Linked DNA regions of Rattus norvegicus. The protein of the gene in region 3 purifies or fractionates together with the protein of the main gene of each other region. This does not show direct contact. Links are inferred from orthologs where the notes say so. Each region holds a gene or a part of one and is shown on either strand. Other genes may lie near its edges. The genes, in order: Serpina1, Derl2 and Os9.

Region 1 (7,578 bases), on a different chromosome or scaffold from region 3:
AAAGGAAAAGATGTGAGAGAGTGTGATCACCCTTGCAGGGCCTCTCTCCTTCCGCATGCTGGCCTTCCCTTCTTGAAGCTCAGCAGCTCCCAAACAGAATGCGCCATCTCACTCCCACTAAACAGAGGTCCTTGGAACTGAGTCCAATGTCTGGGATGAGGAAATAGTTCAATCAGTACAATGCTTACCACACAAGTATGAGGACCAGTGTTTGCTCTTTAGAATCCAAGTAACAAGCCATGTACGGACGCATGCTTTTACAATCAATCCCAGCCCTGGGGAGATGGACGCAGGCAGATCTCTGCCTTGCTGACCAGCTAGCCTAGCTGAATTGTCAGCCTCAGTGCCAATGAGACACTGTTTTATAAAAGAAGTTGGATGGCACCTAAGGAACAACACCTGAGGAAGACCTCTGGCCTCTACACGTATGTACATACGTGTGCCAGCACCTGCACAAACATGCACAGGGCATATCTTCCTCTTAGCTCTCCCCAGACGAACTCCATATAACCTAGGCTGCACAGCCTGGGCTGTGTTTCCCAAATGCTGTTGGGTGCCTAGTGAATAGTGACAGTCACATCAGGATTTGAATTGTCAGCCTCTGGCCTGAGGTCACTTGGTATGTTTTCTCGCCACCCTGTGAAGGCCCAGCCTCTTGATGGAGGTGGGGAATTTCCACAGGGCTCGCCAAAATCCAAACAAGAAGGAACAAAAACATCAGGAATGGAAATATACAGAACTAAACTCAGTGTCATCGCCAACTCTAACACACCAACTTGTTTGAGAAAACATCGACGTGTACTACGCAACCTGTGTTCAGCTCTCCAAATTATTTACACCAAAGGGCAGAAAGTGCAGCTAGAGACACATCTGTTCTTCATTGTGCTCTGGTGTTGGAAAGATACTTTTGGCAGGCCAAGGGCAGGCAAAATTCAATATTTCTCGTCTTCAACTTTCCCCCTTCGGGTTTTCAGATCCCAAACTTGAGGGTTCCGTTATAGTAAGATGATAATTCTAGCTATGGGTCTAGGGAGTGTGACTCTCTTGGTAGAGAGTTAACATAGCACACATGAAGCCCAGAGCTACATAAAGAGGTCATGGTGCTACACACCCGTCACCCCAGCACTCTAGCAGTAGAAGTAGAAGTAGAAGTCAGGTGTTCAAGGCCATCCTCAGCTAGGTAGTGAGTTTAAGGCTAGCCTGGGACCCATGAGATTATATCAAAAGAATAAAATAAAAAGGATGGTGTTGTCATTATTGAATTAATAGCTAACTATGTGGTATGGTGGCCTGAACAGTCATCATACATGCGGCCTCAACTATGAAGAGAGCATGAGCTTGTAGACTAGTAGCTTGCGGGCACGTTAGAGTAGAGAGACTTCCGTAGAGCTGGAGAGGCTGGGGCTGGGGGTGTGATCTTGACTTTGGCCATCTCCAGGCAGAGTTTGCCCTCTCTGGTGCAATCCAAGCCTTGCCTCACGTCAGCCATATAACACATTGCCCTCCCCTGCTCCTCTTTCCAGCATTTGAGTTTGCATCATCTGCCACCCTTCCGTCCCCAAGACTGCCCTTTGAGAGCTTGTCCATGGAAGGTCTGATGCAGAGACTTAGTGCCCTGAGTTCTCCTGGTCTCACCTTGTAGGAAAGGCAAAACAAGGATCAAATGATTTCTCCTGGCTCACGCAGCCAGAGAGTGACAGAGCCTGGGTTAGAACTTGAGGCGGTCATGGATAGATCACTCCACCACACACATATCCCATGTTAGAGCAGAGGCATTAATTTCTGCTCTTCCAGCACTGAGATAGGAGTAGTGGCAAGGTGGCAGATAGGCTGCCAGAGATGAGGCCAGCCCAGTCTGGGTTTAGGGTTACAGAGCAGAGCACACACAGTCCCTCTTTCAGGGTAAGCCACTAGGAACTGAGGTTCCTTGTGGAGACTGAGTGTGGACAGCCCCTGCATTCCTCCTTCTCCTCCTTCTCCTCCTCCTTCTCTATGCATTTGTGGGGGGAGAATGGGTGCCTGTGTGCATGAGGAGGCCAGAGGAAGGCTCCAGATGCCCTGAAACTAGTTCCAGATGGTTGTAGCTTGCCACTGGAAGTCCTGGAATCAACTGCACATCCTCTTCTAGAGCACCAAGTGTTCCTACCTCCTAAGCCATCTCTGCAGCCCTCCTGGTTATTTCTTCACAACCTTAGGCTTCTCTGTGTACCCAGGCTACCGACATTCATCTCCTCTTCTGTAAGGATCACCACAACATCAATATGTTCTCCCTGGGGACCAGAGGTCCCCACGTGGATTCTTGAGAGTTCCCATCATTTTTTCCAGCTTCAAATGATTGTTAGTCTGGACCACAGTGTTCCTCTTGTAATTACTGACAAGGCCACTTCTTACCCTGTACCTTGGCTTCTTCCTTACAAAATGGGGCAGAGACCTGTGCCTCAAGATCATCTGAACACTGCTTTGGTGGAAATGGAACTGTTGAGAATACTGGTGAGGAATGGGACCACCTATAAGTGCAATATAGATCTGCTGTGTGGCCACTCACTAACTTCGAATGTATATCTCAACATCTCCCTTCCCAGCAAACTGAAGGGCAGTAATAGCTTCCCTGCAGGACCGTAGGAGGTCACACATGTAAGTACTAAGGACAGCATTGGGCAGATGGAGAGCATCCTATCTGATCTTACTTTGCTTTCACACATGCATGTGGAAACACACGTGCATGTGTGTATAGAGGCCTCAAGTTGATGTTGGGTGTTTTCCTCAACCACTGTCCACCTCATTGAACTTCTCACAAAGCTTCTCTGAGGTTCTGGCTAGCAAAGACAACCAGCTTTCCTCATGGATACTCCACCTCCACCCCTTGGGCTGGGATTGCAAATAGCTACTATGTCTGTATTACAGCTAAACTCCTATCCTCACACTTCCTAACAAGTGCTTTATCCACAAAACTGTCTCCATTTTTTGATACCTTTTTTCCCCTCAAAGATAGCAGTTCAGAACAGTGCTGGGCATGGGGCCTGTTCCCAGAGCATGGTTACTTCTATATTGTGTCAAATAGTAGGAGATGGGAGTTGCCACAGCCCTGACCTTGCATCTCTTTCTGTGTCTTGCAGGAAAATGGCACCCTCCATCTCACGGGGGCTCCTGCTTCTGGCAGGCCTGTGTTGCCTGGCCCCCAGCTTCCTGGCTGAGGATGCCCAGGAAACCGATACCTCCCAGCAGGACCAGAGTCCAACCTACCGTAAGATTTCTTCAAACCTGGCAGACTTTGCCTTCAGCCTATACCGGGAGCTGGTCCATCAATCCAATACATCCAACATCTTCTTCTCCCCTATGAGCATCACCACAGCCTTCGCCATGCTCTCCCTGGGGAGCAAGGGTGACACTCGCAAACAGATTCTAGAGGGCCTGGAGTTCAACCTCACACAGATACCTGAGGCTGACATCCACAAGGCCTTCCATCACCTCCTCCAAACTCTCAACAGGCCAGACAGTGAGCTGCAGCTGAACACAGGCAATGGCCTCTTTGTCAACAAGAATCTGAAGCTGGTGGAGAAGTTTCTGGAAGAGGTCAAGAACAATTACCACTCAGAAGCCTTCTCTGTCAACTTTGCCGACTCAGAAGAGGCTAAGAAAGTAATTAATGATTATGTAGAGAAGGGAACCCAAGGAAAGATAGTTGATTTGATGAAACAGCTGGACGAAGACACGGTTTTTGCCCTGGTGAATTACATTTTCTTTAAAGGTAAGATGGGATAGCCAGCTTGAGCTGGTGTCCATGGAGACACCCATACATAGTCTCAGGGACCAGTTTCTGAGCTCTCATTCCAGGCCATGGAACTGTCCTATCACGTTCCCTACTCTCTGATGGGTAAACTCTGGCATCTTTCAAATCACCAATTAAGTTTAGAGATTGGCTTCAATCAAATCCCCTGACTTGTTTGAAGGATTGATCAGAGCCGTTTTTGTCCTAGTGCTCCCCTACAAAGGAGAGTCATAGAACTTGCAAACCTTCCCCAGCTTCAGAACCAACCATCCTGGTTGTGATGGTCTGAAGAGAATACTGTTGCAGGGAGCGTACTCGATCGACCCTTCTGTTGCATACCATTATGAGCTCTGGAAACATGGGCTTAAATCTGGCCACTACTGTCTATTAGTCTTGATACTGGACAAGACATTTTACCTGCTTGGGGTGTGGCTGTCCATATTACATAGAACAAAGCTAGCTGACTGCTGTGTGGGCATGAAAGAATTAGTGAGGTTACCCAGTGTGCAGGACATAAGCACCCGATCAACTATCATCCCAAGCGTGGCCTCCAGCCTGGCAGTACTTAGGTTAAGACTCCCCAGAGAAATCACCTGAGTGAGGTCTTGGAGTCAAAACCAGGAGCTGCTCTGGCCTTCATGACTCCCTGACTCCCAGCAGAGTTCTGTGGAGCAGAATATCAAGCTAGCATGGATCAAGTCCCAGCACTTCTCTGACAAGGGCATGTGTCAATTCCTCCCCAACCCCTTTACCTCTTCCTATCCAAAAGGAAGGTGGGATTAGGGTTCCTGATGATCTCTTGCTGACAGCCTTGATTCTAGGTCCCTGAGACCCGTGTCCACTCTAATGACCTTGGTGACAGGTCCCTGAGAGCCTCTCCCACTCTAGCGGCCTTGTTGATGTGTCTCTGAGACTCTAACCCATTCTGATGGGTTCTTAGTGGTGGTTCCCTGAGGAGTCCCCCTGCCCACTACAGTAATCTTGATGATGGTGGTTTTATATAGCAGATAGGTGTCTGCACTGAACCCTTAGGTGTAGAAAGGGACTTAAGGTGCTTCCTGATAAGAAGTTAGCAAATAGAACTGTCAAGCGTTCCATTAATAACCCCAACTCACCTTTTTCTAAGTATGTAACAACTATGGAAGATATTTTCTAGGCACAAGGGGGATGAGTAGTTCTCAGCTTCTGTAATCTGCAGTCTGAGTCCTCCCATAGTCCTGAGTTACCCTCACCAAGGTTCTTGGGCAGCCTAGAAGGCTAGTAGTGACCCCCCTCCCATGCACATGAAAAGCCAAGGGCCTGTGGCTCCACCTCACTGGTTAAGGTTTCCTCTCACCCCCCCCCCCGCCCCTGTGCAGGCAAGTGGAAGAGGCCATTCAATCCTGAGCACACTAGGGATGCTGACTTCCACGTAGACAAGTCCACCACGGTGAAGGTGCCCATGATGAACCGCCTGGGCATGTTTGACATGCACTATTGCAGCACACTGTCCAGCTGGGTGCTGATGATGGATTACCTGGGCAACGCCACTGCCATCTTCCTCCTGCCCGATGATGGCAAGATGCAGCATCTGGAGCAAACTCTCACCAAGGATCTCATTTCCCGGTTCCTGCTAAACAGGCAAACAAGGTGACTCCCCAGACAGAGACCTTCTCTGACTGTCCCAAAGAACAGAAAGTGCTTGCAGGGGGGGTGGACTCTAACCCGAGGTCACAGTGAAGCGTGTAGACTAGAAATAGAGATCTCTGGGCAAGCTTGCAGGGCAAGGCTCTATTCCTGTCAGTCCTCAGTGGGGCTGATAGGTCTTCAGGACGCAGTGGTCCTAGAGCATACTCAATAGGTCAGAGGACCTGTGCACTCTGAGTCCAGGCTCTGCTGCCTGTGAGAAACCACAAGCTAAAAGGAAGTCCTGGCAAGGATGATGTGGGAAGAAGCTGTGTCCCTGCTTCCCAGCCAGACCTCCGCTTAGGTCCAATGCCCATAAAAATGCAGAGAAGCAGATAAGGCTCAAACCAAAATGGGTAACAGATTCCGAGGGCCAGTAAGACCCCATTGGGCCCTTCTCACTGCCTGTGGAAACTGGGAGCTTAGCCTTCAGTCCTGTGAAGATGAGGGGAATGTCACTCAGCTGCATTGACCCTATCCCCCCTGAGAATCAGATCCAAGGGGTAACCCTTGCTTGAGAGGAGGGACTGACCAAACACATGAGGGGATAGTGAAGCATGGTCCTGTGTATACACTCTGAATCTGCCGGAAGGACTTCTGGGGGGGGCATTTCAGGGGCTTCCAGGAGCTTGAACTTTGAAATCTCATAGATTTCAACTCCTCTTCGGCTAGAAGAGGACCATGTAGAGGGGAAGCACATGAAGATGCTTTCCTGTCCTGCTGGGGGTAGTAGCATGTCCCACGTGAGACCCAGCCAGAAACAATTCCACAACTAGGTGGATCTCAGCAGAACCCAGAAGTTCCATGAAACTCCTGTAACTCTTACCTCCCCACCAGGTCAGCCATTCTCTACTTCCCCAAACTGTCCATCTCTGGAACCTATAACTTGAAGACACTCCTGAGCTCACTGGGCATCACCCGGGTCTTCAACAATGATGCTGATCTCTCTGGAATCACAGAGGATGCCCCCCTGAAGCTTAGCCAGGTGATGTTACCTAGCCATGGTGATGTCCTGATGCCCTGGGTGTCTGTAGAGCAGCACAGGGTGTGTGGGTAGCTCAGTGCAAGGCTGGGGGAAGAGGAAAGGGATGTAGGCAGAGTCTAAGCTGAGGTTTTTCTAAGGACTGCCAGGATTCACTTGGACAGGGTGTAGTCAAATATTAGCTTGGAGGGTCTTCTTATGCAGATAGAATTATGGGCCCTTCCTTGAAGTGCTGCCCAATCCTTGGTTTCATCATCATCTGGAGAATTTAATTATTATACTTAGTTTATATATGTTATATATATTCTGAGGCCTGGTGACCTAAGAGAGTGCTCTTGAATATCCATCCCTGATATTTAGAACTATCAGTGAAATAACCATTTGAGATTATGAGTTCAACCAAACAGGCCACTGGTTCAGAGAAATTAAAGGCCGTTCAGAATGGGCAGAATGGTCTTAAAAGTCTGGACATCAAAGGTCATCTTCAAAGCCCTTGTCACAATGTGCTCACAGCTACACACCGGACAGGGACTCTCATGTAGAGGACATGAAGTTCCTCTCCGTGAAGCTACAGCTTGCATCTGAGGCCATGAGAGATGGAATCGGGAAGGGAGAACGGAAGGGAGTGGGACCAAGGCAGGCAAAGAGAGGGAGAGGAGGAGAGTTCTTAGGTGATCACCATGAGAGGGGGCTGGGGGACGAGCAGGAAGAGGTGGAGGGAGACACATGCCCTAGTGAAGTCCTCCCTAGGTGAGTCCCATGTGAGATCTAGCTCCAGCCAGGAATGGCAATCACCCTACCTTCAACTGGCCTCTGCTTCTCTCTCCACAGGCTGTGCATAAGGCTGTGCTGACCTTAGATGAGAGGGGAACAGAGGCTGCAGGAGCCACTGTGGTGGAGGCCGTCCCCATGTCTCTGCCCCCTCAAGTGAAGTTCGACCACCCTTTCATTTTCATGATAGTTGAATCAGAAACTCAGAGCCCCCTCTTTGTGGGAAAAGTGATAGATCCCACACGTTAATCACTGTCCTCAGAAGTCACATCCCTTCTGGATCGGGTCCCCTTCCTAATAATATTAAACTCAGGCTGGCCTGGCCTGATGCTTCTGCAAGTCCTCGACTCTGTGGGGTTTGTGTGCGTGCGTGCGTGTGTGTGTGTGTGTG
Region 2 (9,064 bases), on a different chromosome or scaffold from region 3:
TGTCTCTGTCTTCTCTGTCTCAGCTCAGCTTCTCCTGGCTCACCTGTCACTGTCTTCTCTCCTCAGTCTGCTAACCCGATTCACTTTCAACTGTGTCCTGTTCTCACTCTGTTCAATCCTCCCTTCTCTAGCCCCCATTCAATCGTCTCTCTTCCTATACCAACTGTCTTCTCTGACCCTACTCTTCTGTCTCCTGGACACTCCCCAATCCTACTACTCTCCCTCCTACAGCTCCTACCCATCATTCCAGTTCCAGGGGATCTAGCACCCTCTTTTGACCACTCCAGGCACTGCACACAGTATGGCACACATACATGTGGGCAAACACTCAAAACACAAAAAATAAAAATAAATTAAAATTTAAAATTTAAAATGTCTTAAGATGGCTCAAAGGTTAATAACACCTATTCTTGCAGAAGACCTGGATTCAGTTCCCAGCACCCACATGGTGGGTCATAACTATCTACAACTGTAGTTCTAGGGGATCTAATGTCCTGTTCTAACTTCTTTAGGAGACCAGGCACATACATAGTGCATATACATACATGTAAACAAAGCACTCATCCACATACATTTCAAAAATAAAATTAAACAACAACAACAACAACAACAAAGAAACAATAGTGGGGATGGAGAAACGACTCAGTGGTTGAGAGCTCTAACTGTTACTGTGTAAGACCCAAGTTGAGTTCCCAGCATTCACATGGTGGCTCACGACTGTCTCTACCTCCAGTCGAAGACAATCCAATGTCTTCTGGCCACCAAGGAAACAAGGCACATGTGTGGTGAATATATTTACATGCGGGCAAAGAAAAAATAAAGAGAAAAAAACCCATATGCATAAAAAATAAAAAGAAAGTTAGGAACCAGGTAAAAGTCAGACTGACACTGAAACAGATTACTGAGGTTCTTTCTGACTTGGTCCTTGATACTCCATTATAAGATTCTGCAGGTGCAGCTAAGGATATAATTGCTGGCGAGCCACAAGATTAATACAGTCCACATCAAGGCACTGTATTCTATGGCAATTCACTCTCCTACCTTCAAAGCACCTAAGACTACATTTGCAAGAGCTCTCAAATAGTAACAGTAATGTTAATCAGTGATCTCCTACTCTTATTTCTAAATTACCATTTACTAATTTATCCATTTGTGAATCTGTTTTATGATACCTGTTTGCATAATCCTTTAATGCCAGACATGGCACACAGATTCATAAATTAGAGATATATTTAAGAGACTTTGTTGGGAACAAAATCAGAAAAACATGCCATAAGATATGACCTTAAAGTCAGAAGAGTCTGCATTATAGTTGGAATAAACCTTTTAAATTCTTATTTGGCAGTTCCCTTATCAGACATCATCTTTTTAATTTTGCCTTTTGTCTACTACTTTCTATTCAGTCACTGGGTCATCTAAGAATACTTAAGCTCTTTCAATTTTAAACCGTAAGTTTTTTTAAATATTTCATTTTATTATTTATGTGTGTATAAGCCTATATGTGCATATACCACATGCTTATGGGTGCCCCTGAAGGCCAGAAGTGGGTGTCAGATGGACTGGAGCCAGAGTTCTACTGAACATGTGTTAGAAAGCAAACTCAGGTCCTCTGGAAGAAGCAGCTTGGGCTCTTTACTGTTGAGTCATGACTACACCCACACAATAACCACCTTTTAGAAACTGTGTTGTAAGAGAACAGCTACTCAAGGCTACAAATTCTTTTACGTAGAGCACGTGTACTTTGTGTCGGTGTCTTCACTCTAACTTGGCAATGAGACTAAGCCATTCCCCAACTGCTCTAACACAATGACAAAGTCATCTGAGTAGGGAGATGTGGATATTTAGTTATCCCTCCAAAGGATGCAACCTTAGTGGCATCTGCTCTTGTTTGGCCTATGTTAGAAGCCTGAGTTTACAGGATATTCTTTATGCTCATAACTAATGGGTTAGAAAAATTGATTTTGCATATGTAGAACTAGTACAGGAAGACAGACATCTTTTGTATTTCAAAATAGGGTCTCAAAACAGTTCTTGATTTTCACTTCAATTGCTAGGAGCCTTAGAGGTATTAATTGAGCTTCTAGTCATAAGAGACGATGTCAGCTGATGATGATGGAGATCTTTCTATATCTTCTGAGGTACTTGTTACATATTTGCATATATAATGTCACTAAACATTGCCAAAACATCCTCAGAACGTCTAAGCTGGTTTACAATCATTTGGAATAGACCAGAAAGAACTTCTTGGATCTGCTAACACTCTAACTTTTGTGAATTTGGTAGTTAATAAACTTGTTTTTCTTTCCTATAGAGCTAAGAGGTATGCCGAGGGCTTTTCTACATACTAGGTAAGCACTCTAGTGCTAGATTCCCAGTCCCACACCGTATTTTAAATACTAAAACCATCTGGCTTCACATACTGTTTGAACACTGAAACCACCTCCACCCCTCCTCTACCTTCACATGCGTTGTTTATATTGAGATGGCTTTCCTAAAAGGTATTTTCATTATATTTTAGCTAAAGATAATAGCTAGGTGGTCATCCGTTACAAATTACCCAAATGATGGGTATATCTACTGACAACTTGCACCCAGTAATTCTCTTTTTTTTTTTTGGTTCTTTTTTTCGGAGCTGGGGACCGAACCCAGGGCCTTGCGCTTCCTAGGTAAGCGCTCTACCACTGAGCTAAATCCCCAGCCCCCCAGTAATTCTCTTAAGTGTGCACTCTAACTCTCCCTCAAAGTTCTCAACATTCCTGGATTGATGCACCATGATATATAACCAAACTCCTACATCCAAACTTCCAGTTCTGAGAAAAATTCTGCTTTTCTCTGTTAGACACTACCAATGCTATGATGAGGCAATAGTTATAAAGATGAAGTTTTAACAAGAATTTGCTAAGACCTCTCCCGTGTTTGCTCCCACTCTCCTCTACGTTGTCCACACTGGCCTAGAACTTCAGGATGCAACAAATCCTCTGGCTTCAGCCTTCAGAGTGGCTATGAGACACAGGCCGGTGCCACTACGTTCAGCCTTATAGTCTTACTTCTAAATGTTATTCTCTCCCACTTTTTACTTGGTTCTTACCAGTCTTGACAGTCACAGTCCCTCGATTTTAATGCTTCTTTATAACTTACTGAATATGTCTGCCACGATCAAGATAGCCTTTGCTCCAACACAATGCATTAGAGGCAGATTCAAGAGCCAGCTCGAATACACATCCCTGAAGAAGCAGCCACACCCTCCTTCGCTCCCCCCCCCCAAGTGCTATTAATTCATCTACCGCCTCTTCTCTGCTAGATTTGAATTCCTGCGGCTGTAAATAAACATGGAAAGTTCCCACACCGTCTCGACGAACGTAGGGGACTTCAGAGCCTACCACCGCCACAGACAAGGCCCAGAAACCGCAGAACCCGGAGCGCTTCCGGCAGTTCCAGCTCCCGTTCCACCTCACAGCCGCGGGGCATGCCGGGAACTCTAGGTCTCCGTGCCCAGCCAGGCCGGACCGGAGGAATTCCCTAAAGAACACTCCGCTGCCCCGAGGCCACTCCTCCGGTCCCGCCCTTTCCGTCCCTCCTCAGCTAGCATACAGCCCCTACCGAAGCGATCCCGGGGGTGATGTAGTCCGCCACACACCGGCTTCCCGCCACTTCCTTCAAACTACACTGAGCTGCTTGGAATAAGGCGGCGACACCGGCTCCTCAGAATCAACTGCGACCTGCCTCTGCGAACGAACGCAAAGGCGGGATGGATCGCACTCCTGATTGGCTAGCCGTGGGTCGAAAGGGGCACTGCGATTGGCAAAAGGAAGGAGACAAGGAGGGAAAGCTAGCTGTGGCCGGCAGGGATTGGCGGAAGGAGCTGGTACTTTCTCTCTGCGTTGGTAGGCGGAGAAGTAAGGATGGGCCGACGCAGAGGCGCAACTCTTGATTGGTGGGTGAGCGGCCCCAAGGCGCCAGCGATTGGTGGGTGTCCGAGTACACAGCGCTGATTGGACAGTAGTAGGTAGGCTGGAGGCCAGTTTTGAGTCCGCCCCGCCGCCTGGCATACTGGCGGAAGGGGAAGGGGGGGCAGGCGCGGTGGGAAAGATGGCGTACCAGAGTCTCCGGCTGGAGTACCTGCAGATCCCGCCGGTCAGCCGCGCCTACACTACCGCCTGCGTCCTCACCACTGCGGCCGTGGTGAGCAGCTGTGGCGCCACATCCTCTTTTTTCCAGGCTAGCTATGACTGCGTCTTCAGAAAACGGGTTTGGGCCGCAGAGAAGCCCAGTGGGTCTGGTCCCAGGGGTGGGTGGAGACATCCGGAGCTGACTCTAGGGTTTGGGATATTCCCAAGGGTGCCAAGCCAGTGACCTGAGAAGGGTGTGCTCCTTCTTGAGGGGCCAGGTCAGTTTCAGACAGATGAAGTCCAGACCTGTAGTGAATCAGAACTGCGGGAGCCGCCCACCCAAAAATGTATCTGAGAGGTCTAGCTATGTCCAGGTGACTAGTGGGAGTTAGGTCCGCTAGGTTCACAGACTATTATATTGAATATAGAAATCTCGAATTGTCTGGAAACATCTTTCAAAAGACGGCCTGTGGATATAAATAACTGGCCGCATGTACCTAGTCCTAATGGTAGCAGGGTCTTAAATCTCTTATTCCCGAGTTGTCTCACCCAGCTGTTTGAGGTGGTGACCACGTGACGCACAGATTTGTAAAAGATGCTGTTGTCTTGTCTCTAAAATATTCCCACTCGCCTGCCTTGTAGCATCCTCAAATATTGCAACATAAAACTTACATCGTGTGTTGATACAAAACGGTTGTGCAAATTCTAAAGAATCTCTTACCAGCTGTCACAAGCAAGACAGAAATTTATTCCAAGGGACAGAAATTATTAGAGCTACTCATTCTTTGTTGTTCATGTTGGAATTTTGTTTTGCGATTGATCTGCTTCAAGAAGTTCTTTTTTCCATTTCAGCAGTTGGAATTGATCACACCTTTTCAGTTATACTTCAATCCTGAATTAATTTTTAAGCACTTTCAAGTAAGTGGTCTATAGCAACTATGATATAATATTTTCACTATCTTTTTTTTTCCCATTGTTTACTAAGTAGTAAATCCTGTCAAATACAGTCTCAAAAAATAACCCAGTGGGGGAATCTCTGATTACAAGTCTTGTTGAGATGTAAAAAGGGAATTCCACAACCTGGTTGGACTCCAGAGTCATTTAAGAGCTGCTAGGTATTTGTAAACTCATCCTATACCAAATTAGAATTGCCAGAGGCGGAGCCAGGGACAGGCAGAGTAAGCAGGAGGATGGCAAGTGCTAGATAGGCTTGGGCTATGAAGCACTGTGTTAAGAAGAATGCTAAGGGTGGGAATTTCGAATTTATCCTCTGTTTAGTGTGTTTTTGATGTGTTGAGATTCTATATTTGACTACAACTAGTTAAGAACTAATGTGGCTATGATCTCAGTAGTCAGGAACCTGAGCCCACCTTGAACTACATATCAAGGAATTGTCTCAACACACAAACAACAATAACAACAGCAGTAATAATAATGTGATTTGAGAATAGACTATCGAGCTAGCTGCCGAGAGAGTCTGACAGGATAGCCTTATTTTGTCCATTTACCACCCAGACACACCTAACACTGTTGTTATTCCTCAAGGTCCAGCTCATGAACTCAGTTTTTTATCACTGGTCTGTCTTCTAGAAGTCAGATTATACTATCGAATTTTATACCATTATCTAAAACAGAATGTTGACTTTCTATATTACAGTTTGAAGAAGTCGTTTTCCATTGATTAAAATGCTAAAGAGAAGTATGTTTTACAGTTTGAGGAAGTCTTTTTCCAGTGATTAAAATGCTGAAGAGAAGTGTGTTTCCATGGCAGGATGGTCATTCACACTCTAGGTGATATGGAGGCAAGACCTCAATGGTCCTTATTGATGCTTTTCCCTGTCCCAGATGTGTCACACTGCCTTTGAACCCAGAGAACTCCAGCTTGCCTTCCAAACCTCTGCTTTTATCTACCCTCAGAGACAGCTTCTTCCCTGTACAGTGCCCTCACTAGCGTGAGAGTGCTATAAACTCTGAGTTGTTTGCATGTGAATAGAGTGCTGGCTCCTTTTCACTCCGCTGTGACAGAATTCCTGACAAAGCAACCTAAGAAAGAAAGAGTTTGTTTTGGCTAACAGTTTGTTGGTAAAGTCCATTGTGGTTGGGAAATTGTGACATCCAGAGCTTCAGGCAGTTGGTCCCCTTGCGGAGGAGTACGGGTGCTCAATTCACTTTCCCCTACTTAGTTGTCCTAGGACCCTAGACTGTGGAATGGTGCTCATTAATGTCCTTCCCACCTTGGGTGACTGAATCTAGAAACTCCCTCACAGACAAACCCAGAGTTTGTCTTGAGTGACTAGATCTGTCAGTATTAATTATCACAAGTAAATTACCAGTGACCAAGGGCTTAAGGGTGTATGAAGCAGTCAGTCCTCTGATACCTTGACTTTGCCAAGTCGAGATGTCTGTGACCTTTGCTAAGATTGCTTCCTTCTGGTTTGTTTGGCTTAATGGCCGAGGTTCTTCGTTTTTTTGGTTTGTTTTTTGGTTTTTGGGTTTTGTTTTGTTTTGTTTTGTTTTTGGTTTGTGTGTGTGTGTGTGTGTGTGTGTGTGTGTGTGTGTGTGTGTGTGTGTGTGTTTGTTTTGTCTATTTTTTGAGATAGTTTATCTTGTAGTTGTGGCTGGCATGACCCTCATGGTATCCTCCTGCCTCAGCCTCCTTGGAGTCCATCACTGTGCTTTTTTTCTTTTTTAAAGACAGGGTCTGTTATGTAGCCTGGACAACTCTTGACCTTAACAATTCTGTGGTCTTCCTGCCTGGACTCCATAGTGCTAGGATTATAGACATGAGCAACCATCCCTAGCCGAGGTTAAATTCTTGCATTAAGTTTGGGATTAGGAGTTCTGGATTTGCTTTCACAGTCTCCACCTATCTGTTTGTCCTTGGGCAAGCCATAAGTTTTAAAATCCCTTAATTGTCAAATGAGGATGGCCACACCAGCTTTCTTGCTTATCCCACATATGACAGTAAATTATGTAACCCTTTGTGAGTAGTTGTATGCTGAGTGGGTGAGACTGCCCTGCATCTTTCCTTGTCTCTTAGAGCATGAATTCTGTCTTGTAAGGAAGTTGACTTCAAACCAGAACCTGGCCGTTTACCCTAGGATTTTTCTATCAGAATGTTGTGTGTGGCTAACGCAGAAACTTTTCTTGGCAGCTTTACATACTGAATCCCTGAAATTTTTAGTACCTATAAACTCCTCATTTAGATTATGGTGACTACACATATAAAAGCACTCTGTTTTGTACACTACCCTAGCTTTTACTCAGGGACATCGTGTGGATTTTTGTGTTGTTTAATAGGAGATAATCATGATTTTGAATTCTTTTTCTATCCATATAAATTTTACAGTCTTAATTAGTCCCTTGCGCGCACATATGTGCACACATGCGCACACATGTGCACACACACAAACTTGTGTAGCACGGAACAAACCCAGAATTGGATTGGGTGCTCCATTTGAATGTGCCCCACCTAGGACTTTGGAGCCTCAGAGTCATGTTGTTTTTATCTCAGTATAGAAATGTTTCTTGGTCGTGTATTTTATTTAATGTGTCTTTCTCTTGATTCCCCCCACCTGACCCCTTCTGCAGATCTGGAGGCTAATCACCAATTTCTTATTTTTTGGTCCAGTTGGATTCAATTTTTTGTTTAACATGATTTTTCTGTATCCTTTATTAAATGGAGTCAACATCAAAACTTTAGCTCGCATAGTATGTATATAATATAGATATAGTATACATATAAAACTTAGTAAGTTGAAACTATTACTCTTGTTTATTTTTTATAAAATTTTAGTTATGGCTTCTGGGTCTGTAGTTTGTAATCAGATCATCATAATGTTTTGAAACTGTTTGTAACTCCTTGTTCATATGGGAGGGTCCAACTGTTAAAAGATATTAGTGTCCATAAATTGTGATTTATTTTAGGCATATTTGTAAAATAACATCAGCACCAGCTGGCACAGTAGTCCAAAAGCCTGAAACCTTGGCAATGCAACAGGATTTTCCCAGGTTTTGGAGTGGGTTTCTAAGAGTGGGGACTTTGATTGTAAGGCTAAAAAGCCAATGTCAGAATGTCTGCTGGCTTGACGTGTTTAGGTTTGGTTACAGACAGGAAGAACCATGGTAGTTGAAGAGTCAGATGGTAATTGGGTGTGCTGAGCTAGACATTCCTCCTAGACAGTCCTGCTCAGCTGGGGGAGGCAGAGAGCCTTTAGAGGTGATGGGACTTACGGCCCAAAATGGCTTCTTGTGTTTCCTGCATAGAATATCAGAATGATAAGTTTCTAATGAAAGGTTTTTCATTATAGTTTTTATTGACTAGGAAATAGAGATGCTTAGCCTGCCAGCCTAGAAGTAGTTATCACACAAGGCTTCTTTGCAGGGATTTCTTCTAAATTTGCAAGCCAAATATGGTGCAAATTAACAAGTAGTTGAGCATGGGAAAGACAACACTGAGTTGGAAGGGATGTAAGGGTTATTGGAACCGTGTTCATGGCAGTATTTGAATTAGCATTCCAGCCAGTGTCAGGCTTTGGAAAACATGGTGCTAGTTTTGACATTGCCTAAAATGATTGATAGGGAGTAAAAAAAAATCATATTACCCTTCAGACATTCTTAGAGAAATGCAGCTTGACTGTTTACAGATTGTATAAACCCCAAATATGTTTCAGTGGTTTGTGACATTTTATCTTCTTCATATGTGTATGCCTAATATTTTCTTAACTTGAAACTTAAGATATCGTTATTGTCGAATGCTAGAAGAAGGCTCCTTCCGAGGTCGGACAGCAGACTTTGTATTTATGTTCCTTTTTGGTGGATTTTTAATGACTGTATCCTTCAACAAATAGCATATAGGACAATATTAAAGAACAGACTGTCTGTCCCTCAAGCTTCTCATCTGTCTCCCATGATTCACTAGGTATTTTGAACAAACAGACAAACAGAGATGTCAA
Region 3 (7,870 bases):
CTTATTATTAGAATGCAAGCTTGCTTCCTTATTTATTTATTTATTTATTTATTTAGTGTGTGCGACAGGATCTTACCCTGTCACCCAAGCTAGCCTTGAACCCAGATTCTCCCACTTCAGCCTACCTAGTGTTAGTTTATAGTTATAGCCCACAGAGCACTCCTACACCTAAGCTCACTTGTTTGATTAGTTTGTTTTCTCAAACTGTAGCCCAGGCTGGTCTTGACTTTACAGCAATCCCGGTGTTGGCCTCCTGAGTGAAGGGGTTATAGGTTCTTTGAAGACTTTGTGAGTGACTTCGTGAGTGCATGTTGTCCTTGCTTAGGGACCACACTGGTGTCTCTGTCTCTCTGGTCTTAGTGTGTGCTGCTGGGTAGAGAGCACACATGTGGGTGTCAGAAGACAATTGAGAATTGGGTTCCCTCCGGCCACTATGTGGGACACTGGAGAGCCAGGTCACGCCATTAGGCGTGGTGGCAAGCAGCTTTACTCTGAGCCACCTCAGCAGCCCCAACACACCATGTTTACCCAGGACAAGGAACTGATGCAGATTGCCAATGTAAGTGAAGCCGCCTAATTTATCTTCCATTCTTGCCACCTGAGAAAGGGTCTAAACTGCATTATTTGATAAGTTTCTGCATCCTGGGTGACCGAGCTGGGGCCATGCTGCCTTCCTTGCTGGGTCTGTGTGACAACCAGATAACTGACTCTGTGTAGCATGTCATGTGCACAATCGTGGTTCTGCGTCTGCACGCTGTCCCCTGGTGTCTGCCGTAAGGACTCCTTAACAAAAGATAGCTGCTGTTCCAAGAACCAAAGGTAGTTTGGTGGTTCTTACCAGTGAGTCTCCCTTCTTGCCTTGCCACAGTTCCTGTGTGACGAGGGCGCGGGCATATCTGGGGACTACATCGATCGAGTAGATGAACCCTTCTCCTGCTCCTACGTACTGAGCATTCGGACATCGAGGCTCTGCCCACACCCTCTCCTCCGCCCACCAGCCAGCGCTGCCCCACAGGCTATTCTATGTCACCCAGCCCTGCAGCCTGACGAGTACATGGCCTACCTCCAGAGGCAAGCTGGTGAGTACACAAGACAGCGAGGGAGGCGGGGACAGACCTACACGCAGGTGGGTGGGCGCTATGGGCACCGCAGGCACTGACGCATCCCTGGCTGGTGTGCACTGGTTTCCTGGTAGAGTCAAAGCAGCATGAAGAGAAAGTCACAGAGGAAGTTCAGGACACAGACCACCAAGTGTGGAGTGGGAGCAAGGCTGCCGGAGCACCCCCAAAGAAAGAAGGTGGGATGAGGCCTTGGCCAGTCGTGATGCTGGCCACCACGACCTTCCTCCCTGTCTTCCTGTCCGGTGCTGACATTGTGGGTGGCAGGATAAGAGGGAGTGTATCCCCTCTTATCCTGCCTTCTTCTCTGCCCCCTTTCCATATTCTCCTCTGTTCTCCATACCCCAGATGTGAGCCCCACCAAGGAAGATAAGGAATCAGAGTTTTGGAAAATGCTTCAGGAGCCAGAGGAGCAGGCTACAGGAACAGAGGAAGCACAGGCAGGGGTGAGATCAGGCCTCTCCGCTGTCCCTGACGAGCCTGGACTCAGGCCCTGGGATGGCTAGGGTCCCTCAAGCCAAGGTCTACGAGGTGACCTCTGTCTGTCTAGGGATGAAAGGAGCATGGAGGGCAGAGACAAGCCCTCACACCTGAGTCTGACCTTTCTCCTCATCAGGAACAGGACCTGAACCATGAGGCTGCAGCAGACCCAGCTCCAGCCCCTCCCACTGGTTAGTCAGCCCTGTGTCTCCCTCAGTTCTTAGATGGGGAGAGCTGAGCTACTCGGGAGGTTGGGAGCCGGGACATCAGGTCCATTCCTCCCTACCTCCCTGTGTCTTCTGGGGCCAAGACCTGAACCCAGACTCTCGCACACTGATGATTTACCTCTAAGCCATCCAACGGCCTGGCCCCAGTAAGCCCACTCACCCTTAGCTTCTCTCTGATCAGCAGAACCACTTAAGGAGGTCAAAGGGCACTTACCTGCACTCCCCTGCCATGTCTTGTCAGTTTGCCCACCTATAGAATGGGGAAGGGTAAAGGGATCTGTTCTCCACAGCAGGAGGCCCAGAACTGAGAAGCTGAAAGCAGACTCCAGTAAGGAGTCCTAGGCTCCGAATCTCCTCTATGGTCCTAAAAATAAAAACTAAGGTTTTTTTTGGGGGGGGGGGGGTAGCAGTGCTTTGCTACTCACATGCCCACCATGTTGCCTTCTGCAGGCTTCCTGAGGCAGACTGTGATCCTCACCCCTCGCCCCCCCAAGCCTCTCTTCAGGAATTAAGAGATGATTTAAAATGCAAAATGCCCACACCCACTCTCTTTTTCATCTCAGATTTTCAGAATAATGTGCAGGTCAAACTCATCCGGAGTCCTGCAGATTTGATTCGATTGATCGAGGAGCTAAAAGGTGCAGAAAAGGTACGGACCTGCCCAGGGCCAGTGGGAGCCACCTCCCCATTGTGTTCCTTTGGAGAGAGACCTTTACCTGGGACAAACTGGCCCCAGTAGAGCCTGGTCCTGCCACCAGCTCCCATTCTGCCCTTCCTGTGGCCCCCACTAGCATGTCCTGCCCCCCCCCCCAGTATTATGAAGGACTCCTTCAAACTGAACTCCTCCTCCCCAACTCCCCACCCAGGGGAAGCCAAGCGTAAGGCAGGAGCAGCCTGGAGATGATACCACAGAGGCCCCGCAGAGGGAAGCGGAGGCGAAGGGAAAGGGTGGTGAACCCCGGGGTCTCGTGGAAGAAGAGGATGGTGACGAGGAGGAGGAGGACGAGGACGAGGATGAGCAGCAGCTCCTGGGAGAGTTCGAGAAGGAGTTGGAGGGGATGCTGCTGCCCTCGGACCGAGAGCGCCTGCGCTCAGAGGTTAAGGCTGGCATGGAGCGCGAGCTGGAAAACATCATCCAGGAGGTGAGCACCCTCCTGCGACTGCCACAGTGCACAGGACAGGAGCGCCCAGCATGGTGGCTGCCCTTAGTCTAAAGGGGATGCCCCATCTCTCTTCCCCTAACTGCCACCTTCATTGGGCTTCACAGACAGAGAAGGAACTGGACCCAGAAGGGCTGAGGAAGGAGTCTGAGCGGGAGCAGGCAATATTGGCTCTGACATCCACTCTGGACAAACTCATCAAGAGGCTGCAGGAGAGCCAGAGTCCAGAGCTTGTCCAGAAATACAAGAAAAGGAGAGTTGTCCCTCAAAAGCCTCCCCCATCACCGCACCCTACAGGTGAGAGCCTGTGCTTCCTCTCCCTCCCTCGGGAGCACTGTGCAGTGTCAGCTCCTCCCCCCACTGTCCTCCCTGCAGACACACCTCATAGCCAGCCTTCTGGAAGAGCAGGCCTGGTCTCTGGTTTGCTCCATGCTCACTGCCTGGTGCTCTGCCTGGCATATAAGCAGGGACTAAACGAGCTGAGTCTGGACGCTGAAAAGCTCATCAGGAAGAAGGAGCTCTATGCCGGCCTCGCCATGGGTGGGGATTGCAGAAAAGGAGACAGGCAGTCTGTGGGTTTCCATAGTGGACATGGTGGGAGATGGACAAACAGGCAGGTATTGGGGGGGGGGGGGTCTCTGCAGCAGGAAGGTCCCTGGCTGTCAGTGTGAATAGGCAGGCCTGTTGGCACCAGCCACCACCAGCCAGGGCACACTTGTGTGATCCCTTCTTCCATCTCCTTGTACTCATGTCATGGGATTCTGCTGGAATGGAGCAGAGAGAAGTTATTCCAGCTTCCAACCTTCTATCCACCTTTCTGGTAAACATCGAAAGGCTGTTAAGTCTGTGGAAAACAGAGCTATGGCTCTCCAACCTGCTCCATAAAGGTGACACTTCTGCAGGTGCAGGTGGCCTGGCCTGGCTTTTAGGAAACAGCTGTTCTCCTATAGAAGATGGAAGGCTGGGGTGGGGGTGGGGGTCTGCCTCTGGGGAAGGGCGTGTTTTCGAACCCTGGATCACATGCATGAGAGGTGGAGCTTCTACTCAAAGCAGCCCTTGGCTTAGAGAGGGGCCACCTCACAGCCCTTCACCCCGGAGTCACCATGGCTCTGCTTTGTGTCTCCCCGTGTCTTCCCCTCTAAGAGGAGGAGCCTGAGCACAGAGTCCGGGTCCGAGTCACCAAGCTCCGTCATGGAGGCCCCAATCAGGACCTGACTGTCCTGGAGATGAACCGGGAAAACCCACAGCTGAAACAGATCGAGGGGCTGGTGACAGAAGTGCTGGAGAGGGAGGGGCTCACGGCGGAAGGTGGGCCCTGAAGGGCAGTGCTTAGAGCTGTCGGAAGGGCTTGCCACAGGAGTGGCAGGGCTGGGTCAAGGTGGACTGGACACCTCACCTTGGGACCCACCCGGAGGGCAGGGGACTCTAAAGCTCCCAGCTTCCCCTCCTCACCACCCATATTGCTCTTGCCAGGCAAGATTGAGATCAAAATTGTGCGACCCGGGGCTGAAGGTAAGGAGGAGGACACACGCTGGCTGACTGATGAGGACACAAGAAACCTTAAGGAGATTTTCTTCAATATCTTGGTGAGACATCCTACCCACATCCTGAGCCGCAGCACACACCACTGTGCTGCTCAAATTAGGGTCTGGTTATGCCAGCCATACCTGTTTGTGCACCCCATCCTCCTGTCCCAGGTGACGCTAAGCCTCAGCTGCTGCTCAGGGGAGTCCATTGGGAGAGTCCATTGGGAGGCCACATCCCTAGTCCCTGCCTCCCGCCGAGGTCTCAGGACCTCCCTAGATCCCACAGAACAGGAGTTTCCTTGGCTCAACCCCTCCTTCCTCCCAGGTGCAGGGAGCAGAAGAGGCCAATAAAGAACGCCAGCGACAGAGTGAGCTGGAGAGCAATTACCGCCGTGTATGGGGCTCTCCGGGTGGAGAGGATACAGGGGACCTGGATGAGTTTGACTTCTGAGACCACCTTGCTAGGCCCTTTAAGGATTACTGCAACGTCCTGACCAGCTCTGCCTCCTTACCCCATCCTGGGGCCCTGGAGGCAAAGGGCAGATTGGAACCCAGCACTGGATTTCAGGGGCCCAGCCTGAGGGTGTGTGAAGACCCACGAGGGAGACCTGTTGCAGTCCCAGGGAGCCACCTAAGGCCACGACCAGGCTATAGGTTTCGCTCCCCAAACATACCCTCCTTTGCTCCTTTAGCTTTTCCTGTCCCCCACCTTCTTAGCACTTAACCCCACTCTACCCAGAGACTTGATGAGACCTTGTGCGTGGGAGTGGCAGGAACAGCAGGGCTGCAGTTTTTCAGACTCCCAAGAAAGCAGATTCCCAACCCCACCTTGCCCCACCCTACCTTGATCCCTTTGGTTTAGGGAGCTGTTGCCTCTCCCTTGGGGCCCCTACTTCCTGTCTGCTGACTGTCTCTTGTCACTGAGGGAACTGGAGCCCTTACTATCACCTCACAAACAATCCCAGCGAAAAGGGTTGGAGATGGCGCCACCCCTGTTCTTCAGCAATCAGGTTTCTAAATAAAAGACCGGACTGTCAAGCCCATAGGCTTTGTTGGGAGGGCGAATGAGGTAGGAAAAGCTCAGGGGAAGGAACATGTTCTCCGGTCCTGTTTGCCACATTACCCAAAAAGTATCAGTGTGCCTGGGGTACACAGGAGGTGACCAGGACAGCCGACCAAAGCCTTCCAGTATGGAGAGAGATGCTGTTCTTTCCTGGGTAAGCTGACCAGGCACTGGCCTCCAAAGGCCTGGGGGAGATCCTGAGTGTCAGTCTTTGCTTGGCAGTCGTTTTACAAGCCAACCTCTGAAAGGATAAGGATTTGGAGGCAAGTCTCAGAGGACCCTAAAAGCTGTGGCAACGCTACTGGAGACCTTTGGTTCCTCCTCTCATCATCCGTTCCTATCCCAGGGGCTTGCACACGTGAGGTGAGCCCTGAACAGCTGAGTTATACCCAGCCAGTTGCTTCAATTGGGCAGAAGCATATCTTCCCTAATCCTCTCCTTCCTTACATCCTGAAAGCCAACATGTGGATCACAGAGACCCTCCCACACCCAATGGGGCATCTCCCTTCCGGCAGCATACTCCAGATTCCTCTTGCCAGTCAATCCCTCCATCCCTCGGGTTATTTACCATTCCCTGGAAGATTCCACCTACAGGCAGGACAGGGCTGCTGCCCACATGCCATTGTCATAGCACTCCAGAGACAGGTGGGCCTGGGGTTCCACTCTTCCCGATTGCCAGCTGTGGGTCCCTCCTGCCTGTGTCCTCTCCCAGAGTAGTGGGCCCTCAGGACAGTAAAGACAAAGTTTCCCTTTTGAGTCCCCAGCTAGAGACAAAAGGGGTGCACTACAGGAAAGGGACTGAAGAGGGCATGACCTGCCACCTCCAGAAGACTGAAAAGATTATTTCAGAAACTCCTGGGGCCAACCCTCTTGCTGCTCAGTGTGGATGAGGGCCGATTTCATGTTGTGCTTAAATTGTTTTGAAATGTAAACAAGTCTTGCTTCCCACAGCCCTGTGAGTCTCCTAAGGGGATAGGTGTTACAGCTGGCTGGGAACTTAAGTGGGCTTGAGAGTGGCCAAGGCAGAGAGAACACTGGGTTCAAACAACACCCAGTGACCTCCTCTAATGCTGAGCAAGCTCTGGCCTCCTGGGGGGCAGTAATGAGGTGTCACAGACTTCCTCAGAACAGCAGTCACCTTACAAAGCATCCTCTGAGCTCTGAAGGGATACAAATGTGGAGGCAAGTCCTAGAGGACCCTAAAAGCTGAGGCCAAGTTATAGGAGACACCCCTGGACTGAAGAGGCTGCAGGAGATTTATCACCGGTGCCTCAGCATGGTCAGAAACAGAAACCTGGCTTCATTGAATCAACCTGAACTTTCAACAGGACACTCCTTTTCCAGTCTTTTGACTTTTGGCAAAATTTCCACGAAGGTCAGTCAGCCTCAGCTATGCCAAGGCAAACAAAGGGAGCAGAACAGCAGGTGTGTGTTGGGGATGGGGGAAGATGGCATCCAGAAAGGGGTGGGGAGGTTTGGGGATGCAAATCCAAGCTGAGAGGCATGGCTGCCGAGGGGCTGTGTGGGTTCAGAAGGAGCAGCAGCTTGTCTGTGCCCGTCCAGGGCCACCCACCCCTCCTTTTCTGCCCCAGCCCAGAGGACTTGAAATCTTATTCCCCACAATGCTAATGCCACCCATTAAAGGAAACCAACTACTTGGCAGTAGTTTGCTGACATTCTGACCGTTTTTTCACTGGCCTGCAGATCCCCTAATGGGACTCTGTTCTGCTCAGGGTCCTTGTTTCCTCCCCATACTCTAACACCCCAAGATGCTAAGGAAAGGTGTGAGCGTCTGCTCTAAGGGAAGGTGAAGATGATGAAGGGGGGATCAAGGTCTCAGCTCATAGGCAGTTGGGGTCTGCCAGGTCTTCCTGACTTTCCCTCTCCACAACACTCCTCCTTGGGTCATGCCAGGGGCTCTGCAGAACAGCCTCCAGATGAGATCTGTGTCTGGAGCTATGACCAGACCCCATCAGTTCACTGGCACATCTACAGATGAAAACTTTAGAGGACAATGACAGTTGGAACCAACCCTACCCAAAGACAACGTCCATACCACCAACTGATTCCTCAGGGTAGACCATAGCAGGTGGGGGCCCAACCTTCTCTAGCCACTAGCGCAGTACCACCCTGCTGTGCCTTTATAAGGTCTTGTGCTTACAGCTTCTACACACAAAAGGCAGGGCTGGCTATGCGCTAAGCTGCAGTACTATGGCCCAGGCCACCATGACCAGGTGACCCTGCAACAATAAAAATGAGTGAATGCAGGGTTGGGGATTTAGCTTGGTGGTAGAGC

What was found.
Region 1: the proteins of Os9 (region 3) and Serpina1 purify together in Homo sapiens (affinity purification with western blotting; 4 studies listed by BioGRID). This does not show direct contact. The link is inferred for Rattus norvegicus from reciprocal best matches to the Homo sapiens genes OS9 and SERPINA1.
Region 2: the proteins of Os9 (region 3) and Derl2 purify together in Homo sapiens (affinity purification with western blotting; 3 studies listed by BioGRID, with this or other methods). This does not show direct contact. The link is inferred for Rattus norvegicus from reciprocal best matches to the Homo sapiens genes OS9 and DERL2.

The regions. Positions count from the first base shown.
Region 1 is NC_086024.1:128,631,049-128,638,626, reverse strand, and holds the end of Serpina1 (alpha-1-antiproteinase precursor), read left to right. Parts: intron 1-3,116; 5' UTR 3,117-3,120; coding exon 3,121-3,748; intron 3,749-5,127; coding exon 5,128-5,398; intron 5,399-6,271; coding exon 6,272-6,419; intron 6,420-7,247; coding exon 7,248-7,436; 3' UTR 7,437-7,526; downstream 7,527-7,578.
Region 2 is NC_086028.1:56,232,998-56,242,061, reverse strand, and holds the start of Derl2 (derlin-2), read left to right. Parts: upstream 1-4,068; 5' UTR 4,069-4,089; coding exon 4,090-4,182; intron 4,183-4,961; coding exon 4,962-5,027; intron 5,028-7,700; coding exon 7,701-7,774; intron 7,775-8,847; coding exon 8,848-8,941; intron 8,942-9,064.
Region 3 is NC_086025.1:64,800,196-64,808,065, reverse strand, and holds the end of Os9 (protein OS-9 precursor), read left to right. Parts: intron 1-868; coding exon 869-1,079; intron 1,080-1,195; coding exon 1,196-1,297; intron 1,298-1,466; coding exon 1,467-1,564; intron 1,565-1,734; coding exon 1,735-1,789; intron 1,790-2,388; coding exon 2,389-2,474; intron 2,475-2,691; coding exon 2,692-2,967; intron 2,968-3,092; coding exon 3,093-3,282; intron 3,283-4,128; coding exon 4,129-4,293; intron 4,294-4,458; coding exon 4,459-4,571; intron 4,572-4,836; coding exon 4,837-4,962; 3' UTR 4,963-5,549; downstream 5,550-7,870. UniProt on the Homo sapiens protein: Lectin component of the HRD1 complex, which functions in endoplasmic reticulum (ER) quality control and ER-associated degradation (ERAD).